3 linked regions of the Anolis sagrei genome follow. The protein of the gene in region 1 interacts with the protein of each later gene in a biochemical or structural test. Links are inferred from orthologs where the notes say so. Each region holds a gene or a part of one and is shown on either strand. Other genes may lie near its edges.

Evidence for each region.
Region 2: the proteins of MAGI3 (region 1) and ADRB2 form a complex in vitro, tested with the Homo sapiens proteins (2 studies listed by IntAct, with this or other methods). The link is inferred for Anolis sagrei from reciprocal best matches to the Homo sapiens genes MAGI3 and ADRB2.
Region 3: the proteins of MAGI3 (region 1) and ADRB1 interact in a test that uses a peptide from one of them, tested with the Homo sapiens proteins (2 studies listed by IntAct, with this or other methods). The link is inferred for Anolis sagrei from reciprocal best matches to the Homo sapiens genes MAGI3 and ADRB1.

The regions. Positions count from the first base shown.
Region 1 is NC_090024.1:202,225,688-202,233,269, reverse strand, and holds the start of MAGI3 (membrane-associated guanylate kinase, WW and PDZ domain-containing protein 3), read right to left. Parts: upstream 3,098-7,582; 5' UTR 2,827-3,097; coding exon 2,478-2,826; intron 1-2,477.
Region 2 is NC_090022.1:101,798,913-101,806,915, reverse strand, and holds the start of ADRB2 (beta-2 adrenergic receptor), read right to left. Parts: upstream 3,013-8,003; 5' UTR 2,269-3,012; coding exon 1,065-2,268; intron 1-1,064. UniProt on the Homo sapiens protein: Beta-adrenergic receptors mediate the catecholamine-induced activation of adenylate cyclase through the action of G proteins. The beta-2-adrenergic receptor binds epinephrine with an approximately 30-fold greater affinity than it does norepinephrine.
Region 3 is NC_090023.1:206,905,504-206,913,034, forward strand, and holds the start of ADRB1 (beta-1 adrenergic receptor), read right to left. Parts: upstream 3,029-7,531; 5' UTR 2,466-3,028; coding exon 1,167-2,465; intron 1-1,166. UniProt on the Homo sapiens protein: Beta-adrenergic receptors mediate the catecholamine-induced activation of adenylate cyclase through the action of G proteins. This receptor binds epinephrine and norepinephrine with approximately equal affinity.

The sequences.
Region 1 (7,582 bases):
CAGGCTTCTTGGCAGAGAAAAATGGAACAAGAGCACCTCCCTATGGCTAGAGTTGAGCATCGCCTCCAGACACCAGAAATGAAAAGGGAAACTTTTCCTTTGTTTGTGTATAGTATGTAATTGTTCACTGTATAAAAAGCATGGAATGTTTCCCTATTTATGTGCATACTGTAATCTGCTCTGAGTCCCCTCGGAGATTAAGATCATATTGGAGAGGCACTGCTCTCGATCCACCCTCCTTTGCAGATGTGACTGATGGCGATGAGAGACAGGGCCTACTCAGTGGTGGCCCCTCAGATGTGGAACTCTCTCCCCAGTCATATTAGAGCAGCCCCCTCCCTCTTGGCCTTCAGAAGGAAAGTGAAAATCTGGCCCTGTGGGTCAAGCCTTTGGAGATTAACTACATTGCAATAAAAGCTACGAAATTCATAGAATCATAGAGTTGGAAGAGATTGTGTGGGCCATCCAATGCAACCCTCGCCAAGAAGCAGGAAAATCACATTCAAAGCACCCCTGACAAATGGCCATCCAGCCTCTCCTTAAAAGCCTCCAAAAAAGGAGCCTCCACCACACTCTGGGGCAGAGAGTTCTACTCTTGAACGGTCAAGAAGTTCTTCTTAATGTTCAAGTGGAATCCCCTTTCCTGTAGTTTGAAGCCACTGTTCCGCGTCCTAGTCTCAGGGACAGCAGAAAACAAGCTTGCTTCCTCCTCCCTCTGACTTTCCTTCACGTATTTATACATGGTCATCATGCCTCCTCTCAGCCTTGTCTTTTTCAGGCTAAACATGCCCAGTTCTTTGATCCACTCCTCATAGGGCTAGTTCTCTAGACCCTTGATCATTTGAGTAGCCCTCCTCTGGACACAATACAACTTGTCAACATTATGTGCAATGGCTTTTGAAATGGTCCCAGATTACGATTGCGAGTGGTGTGATTTTTAATTAGTGAGTGTAATGCTTTATATGTATATATGTTCGTATTTATATTATTTCGCATATTTGTACCCCATCTTCCTCACCCTGAGGGGGAGACTCAGAGTGGCTTCCCAACAGGCATTCATTCAATGCTAAACAGCAGTAATGAATGATAAAGTGCTGGCTTTAGCCTATAAAGCCCTAAACGGTTCTGGCCCAGCTTATCTATCCAAACGCATCTTTTCCTATGAACCCACCACGAACTTGAGATCGTCGGAGGAGGCCCTGCTCTCGATCCTGCCTGCTTTGCAAGCATGTTTGGCGGGGGTGAGAGACAGGGCCTTCTCTGTGGTGGCCCCTCGGCTGTGGAACTCCCTGCTTAGGGATATTAGATCAGCCCCCTCCCTTCTGACCTTTCGAAAAAGAGTAAAACTTGGCTCTTCGAGCAAGCTTTCGGTACCACAGCATAAACAGACAAACTTGAATCAGAAAATGACCCAGGAACGGCCAAGACAATGGAATGGATGAGGATTTGAACGAGACGATATAGTTCTTTAAATTTTTATTGTTCATTGTTTTTATGATTTTAAATGTACTGTAATGTTTCTTTATTGCTTTTTATCAATGTATGTATTTTATATATGGCATCGAATTGTGCCGACTCTGTATGCCGCCCTGAGTCGCCTTCAGGATGATATGGGCGGGATAGAAATAGCGTAAATAAATAAATAAAAGAAATTAAAACAATTTGTGAATGCTTTAAAATTACTAAAACATTGTTTAAATCACGCAAGTTTGAAATCATAGTCCAGATCAGTCCATTGTAATTCACACAAATTGGGTCTCATTCTAAATTGCTGCCTCTACTGTTCAAACACTTGGTCCCACAGCCAGGTTTTGAATTTCATTCTAAAGGAAAAGAGGGAGGGAGCCAATCTAACGTCACTGGGTAGAGAGTTCCACAGGCATATTTTAAATGTGCATTCCATTTTAATTTTAAACCTTTCACTCCATGTATTTTAACTGTTTGTTGTTCAAAGGCATTGAAGAGTTGTCCTACGGAAAGCCTCCTTGAGTCTCCTTCAGGGTGGAGAAAGGCGGGATACAAGTAAGAGTAAATAAATGAGATAGAATGGAATATAAATAAAGTGTATTATTATTATTATTAAAGTGGTGTCAAATTCTACAGCATAGATGCACCCTAGGGGGCTAAATGTGCCTGGAAACAGGGCCAGGAGTGCTCAGGTAAGGCGAGAATGTGCCCCAAGGGCAAGGAGATGGGAGGGAGAGATAGCTTGAGCTTATGAAGGAGAAAGGGATGAGGGCTGGCATGGGCAAACTTGGGCCCTCCAGGTGTTTTGGACTTCAACTCCCAGCATTCCTAACAGCCTCAGGCCCTTAGGGCTGAGGGGGAAAAGGAAAGGGCCTGAGGCTGTTAGGAATGCTGGGAGTTGAAGTCCAAAACACCTGGAGGGCCCAAGTTTGCCCATGCCTGGTGTAGAGTCACCCAAAGCAGGCAGGCAGGCAAGGCGGGAGGGCATTTCGCGGCCCCGAGGCACTGACCTGGCCGCACGGTCTTGAGGTGCACGGGTTCCCTGAAGTGTCGGATGACGGCCAGCGTGTCGCGGTGCGTGAGGCCGCTCACCGGGGTGCCGTTCACCTCCAGCAAGACGTCCCCCGGCGCCGGGGCTTTCCCCGAGAGCAGGACCGAGCCGGGAGCGCCGCCTGAGGAAGACGAGGAGGGCGAGGGCTCGGCCGGCGACGTGAGGCGGGCGCCGAGGTAAGGGAACTCTCCGCGCTCGGCTCCCCCGCGGAGGAGCTCCGGGTCCGGCCCGCAGCCGCTGCCCCAGGACACGGCGCACTCCTGTACTTTGCTCAGCCAGTGCCGCTTCCTCCGCAGCGTCTTAGACATGAGGCCGCACCATGGGCGACCTTCCGCCCGAAAGGAGGACGAGGAGACGGCGACGACGGAGGCGCCACCACTCTCCCACTGTGTACTCAGTCAGTCAGTCAGTCAGTCAGTCACTCGTCCGGCCAGTTCGCCAAGCGCGCGCCTCTGTGTGCTTGTGCGCGTGCGCGCGCTCTCTCTCTCTCTCTCTCCTTTGCCTCGCGCCTTCCCCAACCGCCACCGGCCGCGGCTGCTTCCCAACTGACGGCTCCCTCCGCGCGCCGGCCGCGGCACGAGGACACGCCCCCTTCTTCTCTTCCTCCTCCCATTGGACACACCTCTCCCGCTCCTCTCCCTCAGCTTTCGCTACAAAAGGACACGCCCCCTCCTTCTCCTATTGGATACACCTCTTCATCCCTTCTCTCAACTCCCGCCCCTGAGCAGGAGGGCACGCCCCTTCTTCTCTTCCTCCTCCCATTGGACACACTTCTCCTGCTTCTCTCCCTCAGCTCGCTCTCTCTACAAAAGGACACGCCCCCTCCTTCTCCTATTGGATACACCTCTTCATCCCTTCTCTCAACTCCCTCCCCTTAGCAGGAGGGCACGCCCCTTCTTCTCTTCTTCCTTCTCCCATTGGGCAAACGTATTCTCCCTCCTTCTCACTGAGGCGGCCTCCCCACGGATGACAAAGGACACGCCCCCTGCTTCTCCTATTGCATACACCTCCTTCTCCTTACTCTCAACTCCCTCCCCTGGGCAGGAGGACACGCCCCCTTTTCCTCTTTTTCCTTCTCCCATTGGACAAATCTATTCTCTCCTCTCCCCCACGGCTGACAGAAGACACGCCCCCTTCTTCTCCTATTGCATACACCTCCTCGTCCTTTCTCAACTCCCGCCCCTGGGCAAGAGGACACGCCCCCTTCTCTTCTCCCTATTCTCCCCCCTCTCCCTGAAGCGGCCTCCCCACGGCCGCCGGAGACCACGCCCCTTTCTTCTCTTCCTCTCCTCCCATTGGACACACTTCTTCTCTCCCTCTCCAACTTCCCCTCCTCTCCCTCGCCTCGCGCTCGCTATTGTCCCCAAAGCCCCACCCGGCATTCCAGGGGGCGGGGCTATGGGCCTGACGTCAGAGAGAAAAGAACTTTCAGGGACAAGGAAAAGGGTTTGTGGCGGCGACAGGACGGGCTGCAAAGCGGCTTTGGTCTCTGCCTGGCTCTCAGGCTGCGGCGTTGCTGTTTCGGAGATCTCGCCCTCTTACTCTGGAATAGCAATTCACTAAAGCAGTGTCTCTCAACCTTCCTAATGCCGCCACCCTTTCGCACAGTTCCTCATGTTGTGTTGGCCCCCAATCATAACATTCTTTTGGTTGCTACTTCATAACTAATTTTGCTATTGTTATTAATAGTAAATATCTGATGTGCAGGATGTATTCACTGGACCAAAATTGGCACAAATACCCCATACGCCCAAATTTGAATATTGGTGGAGTTGGGGGGATTGGTTTTGTCACTTGGGAGTTGTAGTTGCTGGGATTTATAATTCACCTACAATCAAAGAGCATTCTGAACTCCACACCAATGATAGAATTGAACCAAACTTGGCACAGGCAACTCCCATGACCCACAGCAAATACTGGAAGGGTTTGGTGGGTATTGACCTTGAGTTTTGGAGTTTTAGTTCACCTACATCCAGAGAGCACAGTGGACTCAAACGATGATGGATCAGGACCAAACTTGGCACGGATACTCAATATGCCCAAATGTAAGCACTGGTGGAGTTTGGGGGAAAATAGACCTTGACATTTGGGAGTTGTAGTTGCTGGGATTTATAGTTCACCTACAATCAAAGCGCATTCTGAACCACACCAACAATAGAATTGGGCCAAACTTCCCACACAGAACCCCCCATGATCAACAGAAAATACTTTGTTTTCTGCTGGTCTTTGGTGACCCCTATGACACCCCCTGGTGACCCCTCTGAGAGGTCTGGCCCCTAACTGTGGTCCATATGTCATCCAGGTTTAGGCAAGACAAATGTCCTTGCCATCTGAAAGAGGAGCCTCTTCTGTGTGTTGAAGGCTTTCATGACCAGAATCATTGGGTTGCTGTGAGTTTTCCAGGCTGTATGGCCATATTCCAGAAGCATTCTCTCCTGATGTTTTGCCCCCATCTATGGCAGTCATCCCCAGAGGTTGTAAGGTCTGTTGGAAGCTAGGCAACTAAAGGCAGGAATCAGCCAGGCTTTGAAGCTGCAAGGCTGCTCAATGCTAATCACATTCACACTTGCCTCAAGTGGACAAGAGTTCTTTCTCTCACTCTGGACATTCCACAGATATATAAACCTCACTTGCCTAGTTTCCAACAGACCTCACAACCTCTGAGGATGCCTGCCATAGATGTGGGCAAAATGTCAGAAGAGAATGGTTCTGGAACATGGCCATACAGCCCGGAAAACTCACAGAAACCCAGAATCTCTTCTGGTTCTAGGGGTGTGCATTTTGGAGTGACCACAGCTTGTTTGAGCTTCCAGAGTCACCTTAATCCTTTTGTACTAGTGATTTGGGCTGGCCAAAATACAAGGTGAAAGAAATGTCTGTACCTTTGAGTTGCCACTCACCTACCTTGTGCAGGAGAGATAAAAGGCTTTGCTACACAGAAGAGAGGGATATACCCACTAAAGGGACCTAAAACTCCTGGGGGGTCTTTCCTGCCAGTTTCTCAGTCTGCCACTTACACTGAGTAGAATCTCAGAGAGGGCTTAGACCAAAGCTGCTGCCTGGCATTGCTGGCATCTAATCAGCCTGACCCTGGTGCCAAAGGGATTGGCTGCGCATTCCTGTTCAGCAGTGCAGTTCTAAGCCTCTGCATTCTTCCTTAAGCTACTTCGTAAACACCTTCTCAGTTCTTACACTGGAATTCCAATAGATATTAAAGCAAGGTAACTTTCCGTTTAAAGTTTAAAACCTGCAGTAAATAATTGTCCATCTTTTTAAAAAAATGAAATTTAAATATGGTTCCTAGTCCTTTCTATAGCTCTTTTGGGATTTTCCTTTAAGCATCGTTGCTAATTTTCTCATTTCTGCTAGTTTGTTCTTCTAATATTATTTAAATACAACAGTTAGCTGCAGGGGTGTAGGTAAACATTATCTACAAGAAGATTTTTTAAGAAGTTATATCTTCAACCCAGGGAAAAGGACGTCAATAGAACAAGATTATTTATATCTGTAATGTACATTGTACATGGGGTTGCCTTTGAAGACTGTTTGGAAGCTTCAAGCAGTCCAACGGGCAGCAGCCAGATTTCTCACTGGAGCGGCATATAGGGAGGATACAACTCCCCTGTTATGTCGGCTCCACTGGCTGCCCATTTGCTACCGAAAACAAAGTGCTGACTTTAGCCTATAAAGCTCTAAATGTTTCTGGCCCAGCTTATCTGTCCCAACGCATCTCCCTCTATTAACCATACTGGAGGTTAAGATCATCTGGGGAGGCCCTGCTCTTGGTTCCACCTTCTTCTCAGGTGCAACTGGTGGGGATGGAAGACAGGGCCTTCTCAGTGGTGGTCCCTCAACTATGGAACTCCCTCCTCAGCAAAATCAGGTTAGCCCCCTCCCTCCTGACCTTCAGAAAGGAAGTACAAACGTGGCTCTGGGACTAAGCCTTAGGATAGAAATGTAGTGCAATAAGGGTAGATGGAATACGTGGAATTATGGCTGGAACGCCCTATGACTATGATTTTGGACTGTTTGGTTTTAATACTTGATTTTAATGTTTATATTGCTTTTAATTTTGATGTTTATTTTTATTATATGTTGTTTGATATGGCATTAAATTGTTGCTGATTGTAAGACCACTTTGAGTCCCCTTCAGGGTGAGAAGGGGAGGATATAAATACTGTAAATAAACAAACAAAAAAATGTAGATGTGACTAGAAAACTGAAGTAGAAGCAAAAAATATAATAATAATAATAATAATAATAATAATAATAATCCCATCGTTGCCAATGCAATTCACTTACAGATCCATGTTCTCATCTTTGCAAATTTCGTGCCTCAACAGATGCTTGGTTTCTCCATAAATCCTTCTAGAGTCAATGAGGCTTATTGGGAAATAAATGTGCATAGCTATTCAGACTGTTTATACATATATAGAGAGAGGGTGATTGAAAGAAACATTGAATGTGCGACATGCTGCAGTGTACTTTTTAATCTTCTGTTTCTTTGGGTACCAAGGATATTGGTCCAAGTAGTTCTGGGGCAAAATAGCCATTAACTATTTAGCCTTTTAATACTTTCTCTGTGACACTTCCCACCTTTCAGCAAAACCCCTCAAAAGTAAATGTCACTGAGTGCAATATAACTTCCTTTGTACAGTATAGTAAGGACTTCATCCTCAGCTTGGAAAAAAAACTTATTTTGTTTTCTGGTCATCAACTTCGCCCTCAGCATATTTACAATGAGCTTTTCTTCAATAAAACATAATTATATACATATTCTACTTGTTTTCACTTTTTAATTAATGCTGGTTCTTCTTTTTGAAATACATGTAAGACACAATGGACCTCCTACATTCCTTTCTGCTTCTTCTGTTATATGCTACTGTAATGAAAGTTATATATCAATCAGTTATACATTAATCAAAGTATTGAGTCCTTTTCTTGAAATATCTTTGATTAATATGAGAAGAAGGGGAGATAAATGTAGGGAGCCAGATTTTATGGCTACTTCTGTCAATATTTACTTTATGAATTTGTCATTCCTTCTTTGAATACTACAGCATA
Region 2 (8,003 bases), on another chromosome or scaffold:
AAGTTCCTCACTATTTGCCTTGTATCTGCCAAGAGTCTAAATATGGAACTATGAGCCCTGAATGAAGAAACCCGTGAATATTACTACTGGTGCAATATGATAAATGGGCGATGAGGGTGGGCTAGTTACACTGCAAGGCAACTCTCAGCTTCTCAATGACATAAGCCCTGAAGATGACAATTAAAAACAAATTTCAAAGTGGTATTTCACAGGGTGAAATACATTGAAAAACTAAAATAACGTGGTGCTAAACATTATGTTTGTTGTATTTGTATCAGCTATAATTAATAAAGATTTTGGAGGTTCTCCTTGAACTGATTTCCATACAATGTTTAAAACACGACACATTCAAATAACTTAAACAAAAGGTAAACATTGACTTTACAGTATTCCTAAATCTGTCAGATTGAGCTTGATATCTTTGCCTTAAAGCAGACATGTACAAACTATGACCCTCTAGGTGTTTTGGACTTCAACTCCCACAATTCCCAACAGCCTCAGGCCCTTTTCTTTTCCCCCTCAGCCACTTAAGCAGCTGAGGGGGAAAAGGAAGGGGCCTGAGGCTGTTAGGAATGGTGGGAGTTGAAGTCCAAAACACCTAGAGGGTCATTGTTTGCACATGTCTGCTTTAAAGGAATCCTTAGAGCCATCATCTTCTAAAGAGGGGATGCGTCATCAATAGCACCAAATTCTTTCTCAAGCGCAGGGATTTCACTTTTAGGCAGCTCAGCTCAGTGCTTGCAATTCCTACACCTGTGAGGTAGATGAACATGGTGACACTACATCACAACAAAGAAGTTCCTTGGAGGACAAGGCCCAGCAGTGCATTTGCTCTTAATGGAAGAAGGAGCTCTAATTGATATATACGCAAATCCAATCATGCCCTTCCTTAAATATTGGTATAACCATAACATGCCAGCGTGGGATCTCTTCCTGCATTTGGGACCACTGCAGTTGTCCAAACAGCTGTTCTATTTCCCATTTTACATGTCATTACCATCAACAGCCATGGTCATCAACCATGTCCCATCCCTGCAAATTAACGTTACCATGCAACACAGTACCTTTACAATGCAAATGCTCTTCCCCAGGAGGAAGGCTGTCTTCTTCACAGAGCAATTCACAGGCCTTTTCTCGCCCCGCATGAAAGCTATTGTGATCCCCAATGAAGTCATTTTTTCCAGTGCTATTGGAATACCCGTTGATGTACATTTTCAAGGCAGACCTCCGGAAGCAGAGGATCTCCTGGAAAGCATACCTAAAGTCTGGGCTACGGCAGTAAATTAAGGGGTTGAAGGCAGAATTGACATATCCCAGCCAGTTCAAGATCACGTACAGGGATTTGGGGATCACGTGTTCATTGATGGCATGCACAAAGTGGACAATGAAGAACGGGAGCCAACACAACGTGAACGTGCCCATGATAATGCCCAGGGTTTTGAGAGCTTTGTGTTCTTTCAAGCAAAACTTGGACACTCTCCTGTGACCGGCTCTTCCTGCATTCTGTTCCTGTTGGGAGCTCTGCTGGTGGAACCGGCCCTCGCACTTGTCTATCTTCTTGAGCTGCTTCCGGGCAACCTGGAAGACCCTCCCATAGACAAAAACCATGACCACCAATGGCAGGTAGAAGGAGATGACGGAAGAAATGATGGCATAGCCTCCATTGATGAAGAAATCACAACAGTTTTCATCCTTGTAGCATTTCTCAGCCTCAGGGATGTCAGCTTTGTCCCAGTCCATCTGGATTGGCAAGAAGGAGGTCAGAATGGAGATGACCCAAACCAACAAAATGATCACCCGGGCTTTATTCTTGGTCAGGTGGCTTTGATACTTGAAAGGGGAGGTGATGGCAAAGTAGCGGTCCATGGCGATGACGCAGAGGGTCTCAATGCTGGCCGTGACACACAGCACGTCGATGGAGGTCCAGAGCTTGCACCAGATGTTCCCAAACTTCCAGGTGCGCTGGATGATGTGGCTGGCACCAAAGGGGATCACCCCCAGGCCCATCAGGAGGTCGGCACAGGCCAGGGAGGTGATGAAGTAGTTGGTGACGGTCTGGAGCCTCTGGAACTTGGCGATGGCGGTGATCACCAGGACGTTGCCAAAGACGATGGCCAGCACGATCAGGGACATGAGGATGCCCATGCCCACCACCCAGGTTTCTTCCGAGGCGGTGGCATTGCCCGAACTGGGCCCTCCGGAGGGGCTATCGTTCAGGCTCAAGGCGAAGGGCAGGAGCGGGCTGGCGGGGGAGCTGGCCACTTCCATGGCGCCTCCAGGAGCCCAAGTCAGCCTCGGGCGGCTCTGGCTTCCCGGCGGCCGCGACGAAGTGCCGTTTGGAGGCGCGGCGGGACCGGGCCCCGCATGTGGCCCTTGCCTTCCAGTCCGTCCTTCCTCCTTGCTTTCCTCCTTCCTCCTTCCTTCCCGCTCGCGCCGCGCCTGCGGATCCCTCGCCCGCCGAAGAACTTGTCCCGGCTCCCGTTAGGTTTAGGGGAGTTTATAGGAACTCCTAATTGTGACGTCAAGCCGCCCCCAGCCAATGGGCTGCCGGCGCACGGCCACCCTCCGAGCGCGCGACACCCGCGCAGCCACGCTCCGGGATGGGGTCCCGCCCGTCGGTCCGGCTGCCGCCCGCCTGCCTGCCTGCCTGTCTTCCTTCCTTCTTTCTTTCTTTCTGCGGGGATCGCCGAGGGAAGAAGGAAGGCTGGGGGGAAATGGCTGGCTTGGCCGTTGGGAAGAGGAAGAGACCTTCCGTCCGATCCTTCCTTGCTCCCTTCGGCACCTGATCCGAAGCCGGAGCTGCTTGGGCTCCGGCAAAACCGCCCGACAGAACAGGAGGAAGGAGCCCGCGACGGGGAAGCAGGAAAGCAGGAAGGAAGGGGCCGGGGCGCCGCGGCGGAAGCCCTTCGCCTGGAGTCTGCCAGCCCGAGCTTCTCCCTCCACGTCCATTCCTACTTGGCGTCCTCAGAGGATTCCACGGGCTTCATCCTCCGCAGGACCCTTTGGGAAGTGAACTCCGGGGCTTGGTGCCCCGAGGGATGGGCGGGCGTGCGGGTGCGGGGGACTCATCTAGCCCTGTCGTGGCGGGAAAGCGTGGTGGGAGGCTTTCTACTCCTGTGTGCATGGCCGGACCACCAATGTATCGCACCGATGGTGTGTTCGTTTTTGTCAAAGTCTACACTGGGCATGGGCAAACTTCGACCCTACAGGTGTTGTGGACTCCAACTCCTACCAGCTGTTGGGAATTGTGAGAGTTGAAGTCCAAAATACCTGGAGGACCGAAGTTTGCCCATGCCTGGTCTACACGTTAATCTCTGCAGCAGTATCTCCTTTGGAAATCTGCAAACTCTTCTTGGGAGGCATCTTTCCAGAGAGTATTTGTTACACATCCTTCCAAGATGGGCAGTGCTGAACCAGACAGGCCCTTGTGGGCTTTTCCAACTTGAAGGTCCCATGAATCTATATCTGTCTAAGCAGAATGTAAATCAGGGATCCTCAGACTAAGGCCCAGGAGCCGGATACGGCCCTCCAAGATCATTTACCCGACCCTCGCTGAGGGTCAACCTCAGTCTGAAATGACTTGAAAGCACAACAACAACAATCCTATCTTATCAGCCAAAAGCAGGCCCACACTTCCCACTGAAATATTAATAAGTTTATATTTGTTAAAATTGTTCTTCATTTTAATTGTATTGTTTTTAAGTGGTTTTTGCACTACAAATAAGATATGTGCAGTGTGCATAGGAATTCATTCATTTTTTTTCAAATTATAATCCCGCCCTCCAACAGTTTGAGGGACTGTGACCTGGCCCTCTGTTTAAAAGGTTTGAGAACCTCTGCTGTAAACCATTCACACAAGCAGACCCCTCACAAGAAACTTAGGGCAGTGGTAAAGTGGCTGGGAATTCTGGGAGTTGTAGGCCAAAACACCTTCGGACCCACAGGTCAAGAACCACTGATCTACAGGGAACTACTTTTTCCTGTTCCGAAAACTGCATGTTTTTCTCTTTGGTCCGACAGTGTATCTACACTGGCCACTTCAGGCAGCTTCAAACTGGTGCTGAAGAAAGTGTTTTCCCTGTGCAGATGATCATTGATCACCTAGGATATCCTAAAACCAGAAGGAGGCCGGAATGGCAATTACACAAACAAGAGAGCACTGGTGCACATTGATGATGACATTGTTATGGATGCTTTTGTGGGAGTTGGTTGTATAGCCACCTCAGTTTAGCTCCAAGCTGCATTAAATGGTCAGTGTAGGTGCGACCTGAGAGAAAGACTGCGGCTGGATCTACACTACTCTGTATCCCAGGATCTGACCCCAGATTGTCTGTTAGTGGAGACTTGTATAATCCTGTTCAAAGCTGATAATCTGGAATACAGAGCAGTGTAGATCCAGCCTGTGTCACCCTGCAGTTTTTTCCAACCACCCTTTTTTGACCTATGACAGGCCTCATATTTATTTAAGCATCATGTCTGCATTTATTGCTGCAATGTATGGACAGAAGTGCCTTGAGGTTGCCACAAGTTGGAAACATGAAGACATACAACAACAAACCTCATGGGACCTCAGTGAGATAATAACGGAGAGGAAGACAATTGGAGCTCAGTTGGTGGTGCATGAATGTCATAAAAATGGTTTCTAAAATAATAGTTACTGGGCTTTTGGGTTGCCACATTTGAAGTCCCTACTTGAATAAGATGCAGAGGCTTTTAAATGGAGCACAACCCCAGTATCGGTTGAGAGTATATTTCTGGACTTTGCATATAATAATAATAATAATAATAATAATAATAATAATAATAATAATTGCTAACCCTTTTTTAAATGAATAATTTTTGGCCCAAGAAAACTGTAAAGTCTCTCCAGAGAACCTAGCCAATGGCTAGAGAGGACATATTTTGTCAGAGAGGGATAAACAAAACACCAGGAAGTCATACTTACTGTATTTTGTGTTTCTCAATAGCTGCTATTAACAAGAAGTACAATGAGATTGTGCTTTTCCTTTTCTAAAGTGTAAAGATCAATTCATTAGCAGTAAAGTCATGAGGGCTATATATTACCTCCTGCGTGCTTTTTATGTTTGGGAGAATTTATGTTTACTTGCCTGGGGTCTTTTATTAAACATCTACGGTTGGCAACAGAAGAAAACATTGCCTCCCTAGGTGTGACATTTTGGACTTCATCTACCCTGCCTCTTCTTATGGCCTAAACTATTTATTGATCTCTCATTCATTGCAGTTATTATTGGTTCCTTTCTATGACATTCCTCCTGCATAGTCAAAATCCATGAATTCAGTCATTCAAGCTTTCTCTTAATCAAGTCATAATTGTTTAACTGTTCCTTTCTTCCATTGTATATATACATTAGCTCCTATCTGATACTTGTATCCAAGCAGGGCCAGCCTTGGTTAGTACTTGGATGGGAGACTGCCAATGAAAAAAGAAGCTGCAGGCTATATTTCAAAGGAAAGAAAGGGCAAAATTGCCTTGAGTATTCCTTGTCTAAGAAAACCACAGAAAATTAATGGCATTGCAATATGTCAACTGGCAAAGTGTACACACACATGCACATCACATATTTAACACCCACACTATCCTCCATCTCTCCACAACTTGCCATCCTGGTAGATCCTCCTGGTAATGACCTGCCACTACAGAATGGAAAATTCACAAGTGAACATATGAGCTTTTAAAGGTCACTACAGAATATGAGTTCATTTTGCAGCTACACAAAAATGGAGTCTCTATTTGTATTCTAGTCTTTTGGGATTTGTCAGTGAAAGGGAAGAATAATTTAACAACCCAGAAATAATGTGGGTAGTTCATTCAAAAGTACTTTTCTTTTATATACATATTTATTTATATCCTGCTTTTTCTCTCCATACTCAAAGTGGCTCACAACTAAAAGTATTTCAATACAACTTAAAATATACAAATATTAAAACAGCATTAAACAACATTAATATTAAAACAATCCAGGTTAAAACCATAAATGCATATAAAATAACACCACAAAATCACAGCAGCCCTTGAAGGTTTTAAACACCTTCATCTTTAACAGCCTGCCTGAATAAAAAAAAGTTTTAGCCTGCTACTAGAAGGACATTCTGGCTTCCCTGGGAAGAAGGGAGTTCCAGAGTTGAGGGGCAGCCACCAAGAAGGAAGGCCCACTCTCTCGTTCCCACGAAACGAGCTTGAGTTGGATGTGGGACCAAGAGAACGGCCTCTCCTGAAGATCTCAGAGTCCAGGCTGGTTCGTACAAGGGGATGCAGTCAGTCAAATAGCCTGGACCTGAACCATTTATGGCTTTAAAGGTTTGATCAGCCTCTTGCAGTTCGATCAACCACTTGCCCTCTCGACCCGTGTCCCTCTTGGCTAGTTAAATTTTGCTTGGAGGGATTACGTGGTCCTTTGTTGAATATAGTAAATGGCTCTCTTGAGCAAGGAGTTTTTCCAGAGACCTGTTTGATCAGCCAGGAAGGATCTGGAATACACGTGGTAGCTCTCACCTCTCCAAGGATCCTGTCCACACCCTCAGACTGCAAAGACTGAAAGGTTTCCATCAATACTAGATAAGCCAAAGTTACATCCACTGGAACTGTATCAATAACAGCATCCATAGTCGCTCTGAACAGATCTGAGTGACTATCTGCAAAATGTTGTGCAAATTCTTCACATTGGGCTGCTGAGTAATCAGGGATTTCTCCTTGAGGAGCAATATGTAATAGTCCCCTGACTACGTGAAACAGCTGAGCTGGTCAGTTCTTTGCAGATGCAATGGTAGCAGCAATTAATGATTTCTCTGCTGCCCCCTTTGCCATGAAGTAGGCTTTCAAATACCCTCTAGCCTGTGCTCAGTCAGATTTGCTTTGAGTTCTCCACCAACATTGCTCTAGTCTCCATCTCACTTGCTCTATAATTACCAACTCCTTGGAAAACCAAGGGGCTGGTTTGGCTCTGCTCCATGAGAGGGGACATTCATGATCAATTGTGTCTACTACCCTGGCCATTTCCCCATTCCAGAGGTGAGCCAGAGCCTCAACAGAATCACCTGCCAAGGTGACAGGAAAATCCCCAAGAGCTGACAGGAACCCATCCTGATCCATAAGTCTCCTGGGGCAGACCATCTTAATTGGTCACACACTCCTTTGAAGTTTGGAGTCCCAGCTAGTCTAAACTTGACCAGATAGTGATTGGTCCATGACAATGGAACTGTGACCAATTCCTCCACACCACCATCACCATCATCCTATCCTGCACAGAAAACAAGATCCAAAGTGTGTCCAGCAGCATGGAAAGGGCAAGACACCATCTGGGACAGACTCGTGGTTGTCATAGAGGCCATGAAGTCCTGAGCCACTCCCAATGGAGCAGTCTCAGTATGGAAGTTGAAATCTCCCAGAACTATTAGTCACTGAGACTCCAATGCCAACCATGAGACCACTCCTGCTAGCTCAGGAAGGGAGACTGTTGAGCAGTGGGATGGGCGTTACACCAACAGAATCCCTATTCTGTCCTGTTCCAATACACCCCTCCTGCCTGGTCAAAATCCATGTATTCGGTCATTCAAGCTTTTTCTTAATCAAGTTGTAATTGTTTTCCTGTTCCTTTCTTTCATCGTATCTATTACACACATGCACGTGGGGGCACACACACACACCTCTATGTGGAGATCAGTTGACATGTAACACAATATTTACTTGGTGTTCCAAGTAGGGAAATATAATAGGCAGCACCTTATATTAAGTTCCAAACCTTTGTTAATTTATTATCTTTCCAAAGATCAACATAAGAGATTGAGAGGCAAAATGCATATTGAATTCTGCTTGCATATGAAATAGAAAGGTACGATAAAAGTTATTATTATATCTGATTTCATTTTTCCAAGGAGTACATTTAGAAAGTAAGCTTTTTGAAAAGTGCTATGAAATAGAGTTGAACAAGACATTTTGACTTTTTCAGTTCTGTGCAGTGATCAGTTAGGGAGCAAAACTAATC
Region 3 (7,531 bases), on another chromosome or scaffold:
TACTAGAGGATGGATGCTTCTGTCTCTATGGAAAACAAAACAAACCCCTAACTGACAAGACATAAATAAGCGGTTTAATATAAACACGTTTTCCCCTGTACAATATGCACAGCTTGAGGTAGACAATTTGTAGCCTGATTGCTGTTGTCTCGTAGGACAAGAAGAATGCACCTTCAGCCCCCACCCCACCCCACAAGTCAATGGGATATAATATGGATCAGAAATAAGGAGATACTTGATTAGAATACACAACATGTCAATATTACTGATTGATCATTTCCTCCTAGGATGTTAAGGAGAATGTGGCCACGAGGATATTAAGGCTGTAAGCTAATGCACATTTACTTGAGGGTAACTTCCATCAACTCAATTCTGCTAAATACGCACAGGCTCATGATAAAACTCGCCAAGGTATTTACCCCCGACAGCATATTAAAGGAGCCTTTTAGAATGGATTTGCAAAAGGTTTTGACTGCCTGCACGAAAGTCATGCTGGTATCAATGGATTTATATGGGTGACCAGCACTTCTCAGAAAAGGATACATATCGATATATGTTTTGAAAAGAGGCTACTTTTTGTGCTAAGTTCTTGGGATAAATGTAAAGAACATTTTTTGTAAAACCAGCATAGTCTCCAATCAAACCACCAAGGGCTCAATGATGTTTCCTTCCATTATTGGCAAAGGAATACACACCCTGGTTGCCTCCTTCAGTGACTTTCAGCCTAAGTGCCTGCTACAAGTCCAGCTCTTCACAAGCCATTTGTTTGGCAAACTCCTTCAAACTTACTCACGCCTCCCTCCCCGTTTCTCCATGCAACTCTCCTCCATGTAAATACTAATAATCCAAATATCTTGGAGGTTGGGATGGGGGTGGGAGGTGGATCATTAACCTCTTTTGTTCAATGGCCAGATGCTCTCTGTTTGCTTCCATTTCGGGTGATTCAGAAGAGGTATGGAACAGCCAAGTTCACCTGCTTTCCCTCTAGGATAAATACAACTCTCTCCCCCATAATGGCAAGTCAATCAGGTGATTTGTACATTAGCCAGACTCCCAAGTGATTTAGTTATTCCTTCCTTCCTGTTCTGTCTATTCCTTCAGCTCCCTTTCCGTTTCCACAGGACTGACCACGAACTCTGATCCTTCCCACCAAACTGCCCTTATACCTTGGATTCTGAATGGGAGGTTTTACTGTTCCTGTCCTCTAAGCTGGAGTCACTTCCATCCCGGGCACCACCATTGTAATCGGACCACGTCCCTCCAAGAGTGCATGGGGCAGTATCTCCGAGAGTACTAATGAAGCCCCCCGGGTACCGAGAGAGATCCCCAGTAGTGGCATGCAGCCTCCGGTCCACTTTCCTTGGGCAGCACAGCATCCTCTTGAAGGCCTTCCGGAAATCAGGGCTCCTGCAGTAGATGATGGGGTTGAAGGCGGAGTTGGCGTAACCCAACCAGTTGAAGAAAACAAAGAGCTGATCTGGAACCAGCCCTCTGTTGAAGACCTTGACCACATTGACCAAGAAAAAGGGCAGCCAGCACAGAGTGAAGACCCCCATGATGATGCCCAAGGTCTTGAGGGCCTTCTGCTCCCGTACGGCCAAGATTCGGGAGGTTTTCCTCCTGGTGGCCGGACCGTTGCCCAGGATAGGCAGCTGCTGGTGGGTTGGCGGCTGTTGGTGTTGCTGCTTTTGGTGGTGGTTGTTGTAGAAACGCCCCTCGCACTTGTCGATCTTCTTCATCTGCTCCTTGGCTTCTCGGTAGACCCTGATGTAGACAAAAATCATCACAGAGAGCGGGACGTAGAAGGAGATGATGGAGGAGGCAATGGCGTAGGCCCTGTTGGTGACAAAGTCGCAGCAGCCGGGGTCGTCGTAGCACAATAAGGCTTCGGGGTCGTCGTCCCTCCACCACTGCATCATAATGGGCAGGAAGGAGACCAGGGCCGAGATGGCCCAGACCACGCAGACAATGACCTTGGCCCGTTTCTTGGTCATGAGGCTCTGGTAGCGGAAAGGCGAGGTGATGGCTAAGTAGCGGTCGATGGCGATGACGCAGAGGGTCTCGATGCTAGCCGTCACGCAGAGGACGTCCACCGAGGTCCAGCACTCGCAGAGGAAGGAGCCCCAGAGCCAGGTGTCACGCACCACCAACGTGGCCCCAAAAGGCACCACCACGGATCCCATGACCAGGTCGGCGCAAGCCAAGGAGGTGATGAAGACGTTGGTGAGGGTCTGGAGGCGCTGGGTGCGCCCGATGGCCGCGATGACCATGCCGTTGCCCACCACGATGAAGGTCACCATCAGGGACATGAGGAGGCTCATGCCCACCACCCACTGCTGGGACAGCTCCTTGGGGGCCAGGGGCAAGGCGCCCGGGCTGGGCGCGGACGAGGCGTTGCCTTGGGCACCGCTGGAGTTGGACCGGTTCTGGAGGCTCTCGCTTAGGAAGACCCAGCCATCTCCCATGGCTGTCCGGCGGAGAGCAGCAAGAGGGGTCCGGCCGCTCAGGGCATCATCCAAGAGGAGGAAGGAGAAGAGGAGGAGGAAGAGGAGGAGGAGGAAGAGAGCCGGGCTCTTGGCAGCAGCTGCTGCCGCTGCTGGGAGCGCCTCCGACGCCGCCTCCACCGCCGCCACTTGCTCCGGGGCTCCAGCATGGTTTGCGCGAGCCAGCCTCTCCGGCGGGCTCCCGCGCCTCTGAAGACGCCTCCCGCCCCCTCCAGTGACGTCGGCACCCGGGCAGCCAATGGCGAGCCCTCGGAGAACTCAGGCAGGGAGAGAGGGAGGGGGAGGCAGGACTGAAGGGGTTCCTCTGGAAGAAGGGGGGCTGAGGGAGGAGGAGGAGGAGGAGGAGGAGGAGGAGAGGGAGACCAGGAGGAAGGCAGCTCCAGGCGCCCACGAGGGCTCGAGGAGAGCGTTGCCTTCGCCCTGGAGTCCACGTTTCTCTCGGAAGCGTTATCTCTCTGCGCCTGCCCGTCTGCCTATCTCTAGGTCCCTCTTGGCCCTCTTTTCCTGTCCTTCCCGCTCCCTTCTTCTCTCACACTCTGTCCTTCACCTCCCCCTTCGTCTATACCCCCCACTCTCCTTCATGCACATACACTCTCAGTGTGCCTCCCCTTCTTTCTCTCTCTCTCTCTCTCCCCTTCTCACTTTTTATCCCTGTATTGCTTTCCTTCCCTCCTCTCTCTCTCTCTCTCCCCTTCTCACTTTTTATCCCTGTATTGCTTTCCTTCCCTCCTCTCTCTCTCTCTCTCTCTCTCTCTGTCCCTCTCCTCTTCTTTCTCTCTCTCCCCCCTCCCTCTCTGGAAGCCTTTCGCTTTCAGCTCTGGTGGCCGAATGAATGCCCTTGAATGCGCCCTCTTCTGTCCTCCTCATCCTCCTCCTCCTGTCCCTCGTCCTCCCCCTGGAGCCAAACCTAGGGACAGCACAGTTCTTTATGGCTGACCCCCCCCCCCCCCCCCGGTTTGCTAAGTTGCAGTGGAGGCGGCAGTTAGTGCTGCTTCAGGCTGCCTTTCCAGGCTTGAAGGGATGCAACTTGACAGCCATAGCTCCATGCTGTGAGATCTTTGTGAGACACAGCAGCACCCTTTGGGCAAAGGAGGCTATATAGCCCAGGTATGGGCACACCCAGGCTTGGGGACCAGATGTGGGCCCTTGGGCCCTTTCTCAGGCCCTCCTCTCGCTCAACAGCCTATCCTTCCTTCCTTCTCGCTTTCTTCCTCCTTCCCTCTCTATTCTCCTTCCCTTCCATCCTTTCCTTCTTCCTTCCTTTCCTTTCTCCCTCTCTCCATTCCATCCTTTCATCCTTCCTTCCTTCCTTCTCTCTTTCCTTTCTCCCCTTCGCTTCCCTTCCACCCTTTCCTCCTTCCCTCCCTTTTGTCTTTCCTTCTCTTTCCTTCCTCCTTCTCTCCCTTCCCTCCCCCACTCCTTCCATCCTTCCTTTCCACCCTTTCATCTTTCCTTCCTTTTCTCTCTCCCTCTTTCTCCTTCCTTCTCCTTCCCTTCCCTTCCCTTTTGTCTTTCTTTCTTTCTTTCCTCCCTCCCTCTTTCTCCCTCCCTTCATTCCATTCCAACTTTTCTTCCTTCTCTCTTTCCTCCCTCCCTCCCTCTCCTTCCATCCTTCCCTTCCATCCTTTCGTCCTTCCTTCCTTTTCTCTCCCTCTTTCTCCTTCCTTCCTTCCTTCCTTCCTTCCTTCCTTCCTTCCCTTTTGTCTTTCCTTCTTTCTTTCCTCCCCCCTCTTTCTCCCTCCCTTCATTCCATTCCACCCTTTCTTCCTTCCTTCTTTCTTTCCTCCCTTCCTCTCCTTCCATCCTTCCCTTGCACCCTTTTGTCCTTCCTTCTCTCTCCCCCCCTCTTCCTACCTTCCTTCCTTCCTTCCTTCTTCCTTCCCTTTTGTCTTTCCTTCTTTCCTCCCTCCCTCTTTCTCCCTCCCTTCATTCCATTCCACCCTTCCTTCCTTCTCTCTTTTCTTCCTCTCCTTCCTTCCTTCCTTCCTTCCTTCCCTTCCCTTCCCTTCCCTTCCCTTCCCTTCCCTTCCCTTCCCTTCCCTTCCCTTCCCTTCCCTTCCCTTCCCTTCCCTTCCCTTCCCTTCCCTTCCCTTCCCTTCCCTTCCCTTCCCTTCCCTTCCCTTCCCTTCCCTTCCCTTCCCTTCCCTTCCCTTCCAGCAAATGTCAATTGCACATATTCCATATTTACTTCTTGTACTGCATTACTTTACCAGTCAAAAGCTTGGTCCTATGTCTTTGTTCTCTTTCTAAAAGTCAGGAGGGAGGGGGCTGATCTAATCTCACTGGGGAGAGAATTCTAGAGTCGAGGAGCCACCACTTAGAAGGCCCTGACAGGTAAGCTGGGCCAGAACCATTCAGGGCTTTATAGGATAAAGCCAGCACTTCAGATTGTGCTCTGTTGCAGACTGGCAGCCAGTGGAGCTGACGTTACAGAGGGGTTGTGTGCTCCCTATACCCCGCTCCAGTGAGGAATCTGGCTGCTGCCCTTTGGGTTATTTGAAACGTCTGAACAGTCTTCAAAGGCAACCCTGCATAGAGTGCATTGCAGTAATCTATTCTTGATGTAACAAGAGCGTGGGTCTGGCTTCTCAAGATACAGGTGCAACTGGTGCACAAGCTTTAATTGAGATCCTGAAGGCATCCCAGAGCCACAGGCATTCTCCACCAACCTCAGCTCTTCTTGCTGTTCCTCCCAACACCATTAAAAGCCATCCAAACAAATCTTGGGGGAAGCATTTAGGAAGGAGCTGTGGAAGGATTTCTGTTTACCTGCCCTGAATGAATGCTTCATCATTGCGCTTCTTGAAATGAGCCTCTGTTGCAAGGTTAGCCCCCCTTTTTAGTCCTGATTCTGAGGGAAAAGGCAGGCTAGAAAGTTAATCATTACTATCACCATTCAAATTAGCAATATGATTGATGTTATTATAGGGAGAAAAACGCCCTGACTCCCTTTGGATGTTTGTTGTTGCTGCTGCAAGTCTTCCTTATGGATGCACTGAATGTTCCCCATTTTAAGATCTAGTAGTGCAACATTTAGTTACGTTATTATGTGCCTTCAAATCCTTTCTGACTTACAGCAACCCTAAGGCAAATTTATCTTACGGTTTTCCTAGCAAGGTTTGCTCAGAGGAGGTTTGTCTTTGCCTTCCTCTGAGATGGAAAGAGTATGACTTGCTCGAAATCACCCGGTGGGTTTCCATGGCTTCAAGTCAAGTGTAGTCCTCAGACTACTATACCAGGCTGGTTCTCATTTTAAATGCCAACCGAATCAAATAGTCTTAGCTGCCCGTTTATGGTATGATAAAGAGAAGGTCAAGCACCAAGGGAGGGATTTACATGATGAAGATGCTGAGAAAGAAAAAGTCTAGTCATGGATACATCCTTGGTGGCAAGATATGCATCAAGCCCTCTGATGACTATCAGTAATTATGGACAAGTTTAAAAGAGAGGATTCGGTTTTCTTCCTATCTGCAGAACTGAGTCCTCACATATAAAGAGGTCTGACTGCAACACTAGTCACACAATCTTTCTCCCTCCCTCCCCCCCCTCCCCACACACAAATGTGTAATTAACCAGACGATTGCTGTGCTATGGCATTATTGGGAAGCTTACCTTCTGAGGTTGCTTTCTCCTAAGATAGTGAGGGAATGTGACTTGCCCAAGGCCATCCAGAGGGTTTCCATGACAGATCAGGGATTCAAATCCTGGTCTGTACACAGTCTAAGGACCTCATCACATGCTGTCTTACCAGGATTGTGATTCGCCAGCATCCATGGCAAATCAGGGTAGTATTGGGGCAATCCCGGAGCCCCAGCCAGCAACTGATGCTTCCTCATCCCATGTGTTGTTTCTTATGGAACATGGGGCTACCTTTGTGTTTGTAGTAGTCCTTCCACACTGATGCCCCAGTTCATCAATGAAGCCCCACCAGAAGTCGCCCGATGTCATATGATGGGCAGTGTGGGGCTCCATGGTTGAACTGGGGCAGAAGTGTCCTAGGATGCTTATTTTGCCTTGTGTGATAAGGCTGTAATATTCAAACTACTACAAAACACTGGCTCTACAGGATTTGTTCAGAGGAGGTTTGTCTTAGCCTTCCTCTTAGGCCAAGAGATTGTGACTTGTCTAGGGTCATCCAGTGGATATCCATGCCATTTGTAGATTTGAACTCTGTTCTTACAGTCCTACCGCAACTCTGAAATCACTGTGGCCCCTTCCATACTGCCATATAATCCAGATTATCAAAGCATATCATCCACATTATCTGGCTTGAACTGGATTATATGAGTCTACACTGCCATATGATTTATTGATTTATTTCATATACTTGTAACCTGTCCTTCTCACCCCCCCCCCCTTAGGGGGGACTCAGGACAGCCTCACAGCAAACACCATTTGGTGCCATCATAATGATAAAAACAATCAACAAATTTATTAAAACAAAACATTAAGCAAACAGTTGTTAAAACACGCCAATTAAAATCTGGGTCCGGGTCAATTCATTGTCACTTCGAAATTGCTTATGTCTTCTTCATATAAGCCTCTTTTCAATGGTCAAATGCAAGGTCCCACAGCCAAGTCTTGAGTTTCCTTAATAATAATAATAATAATAATAATAATAATAATAATCCAGTTCAAAGCAGATAATCTGGATTTTATATGTCTGTGTAGAAGGGACCAGAATCACACTGGCTTCCACACTTTTTGTGTATCATGCAGCACTTTATACACACCTGATGTTTATTATTGTGTCCATACACACCTTTGCTTACTATTTCTCTAAGCCCCCAAATGGAATCTTTCTTCTTGGGCCCCTTCTGCACTGCCATATAAAATCTAGATTATCTGCTTTGTAGACTCATGTAATCCAGTTCAATCCAGATAATGTGGATTATATGGCAGGATAGAAGGGGCCTTAAGAACTACTACACCTGCTTCCTTCTTCTCCTTCTCTTCCTTCTTCCTCTTTTTCCTCCTTTTTGTTTACATACTACTTTTTTATCTGAAGAGACTCAGTGGTGAATAGT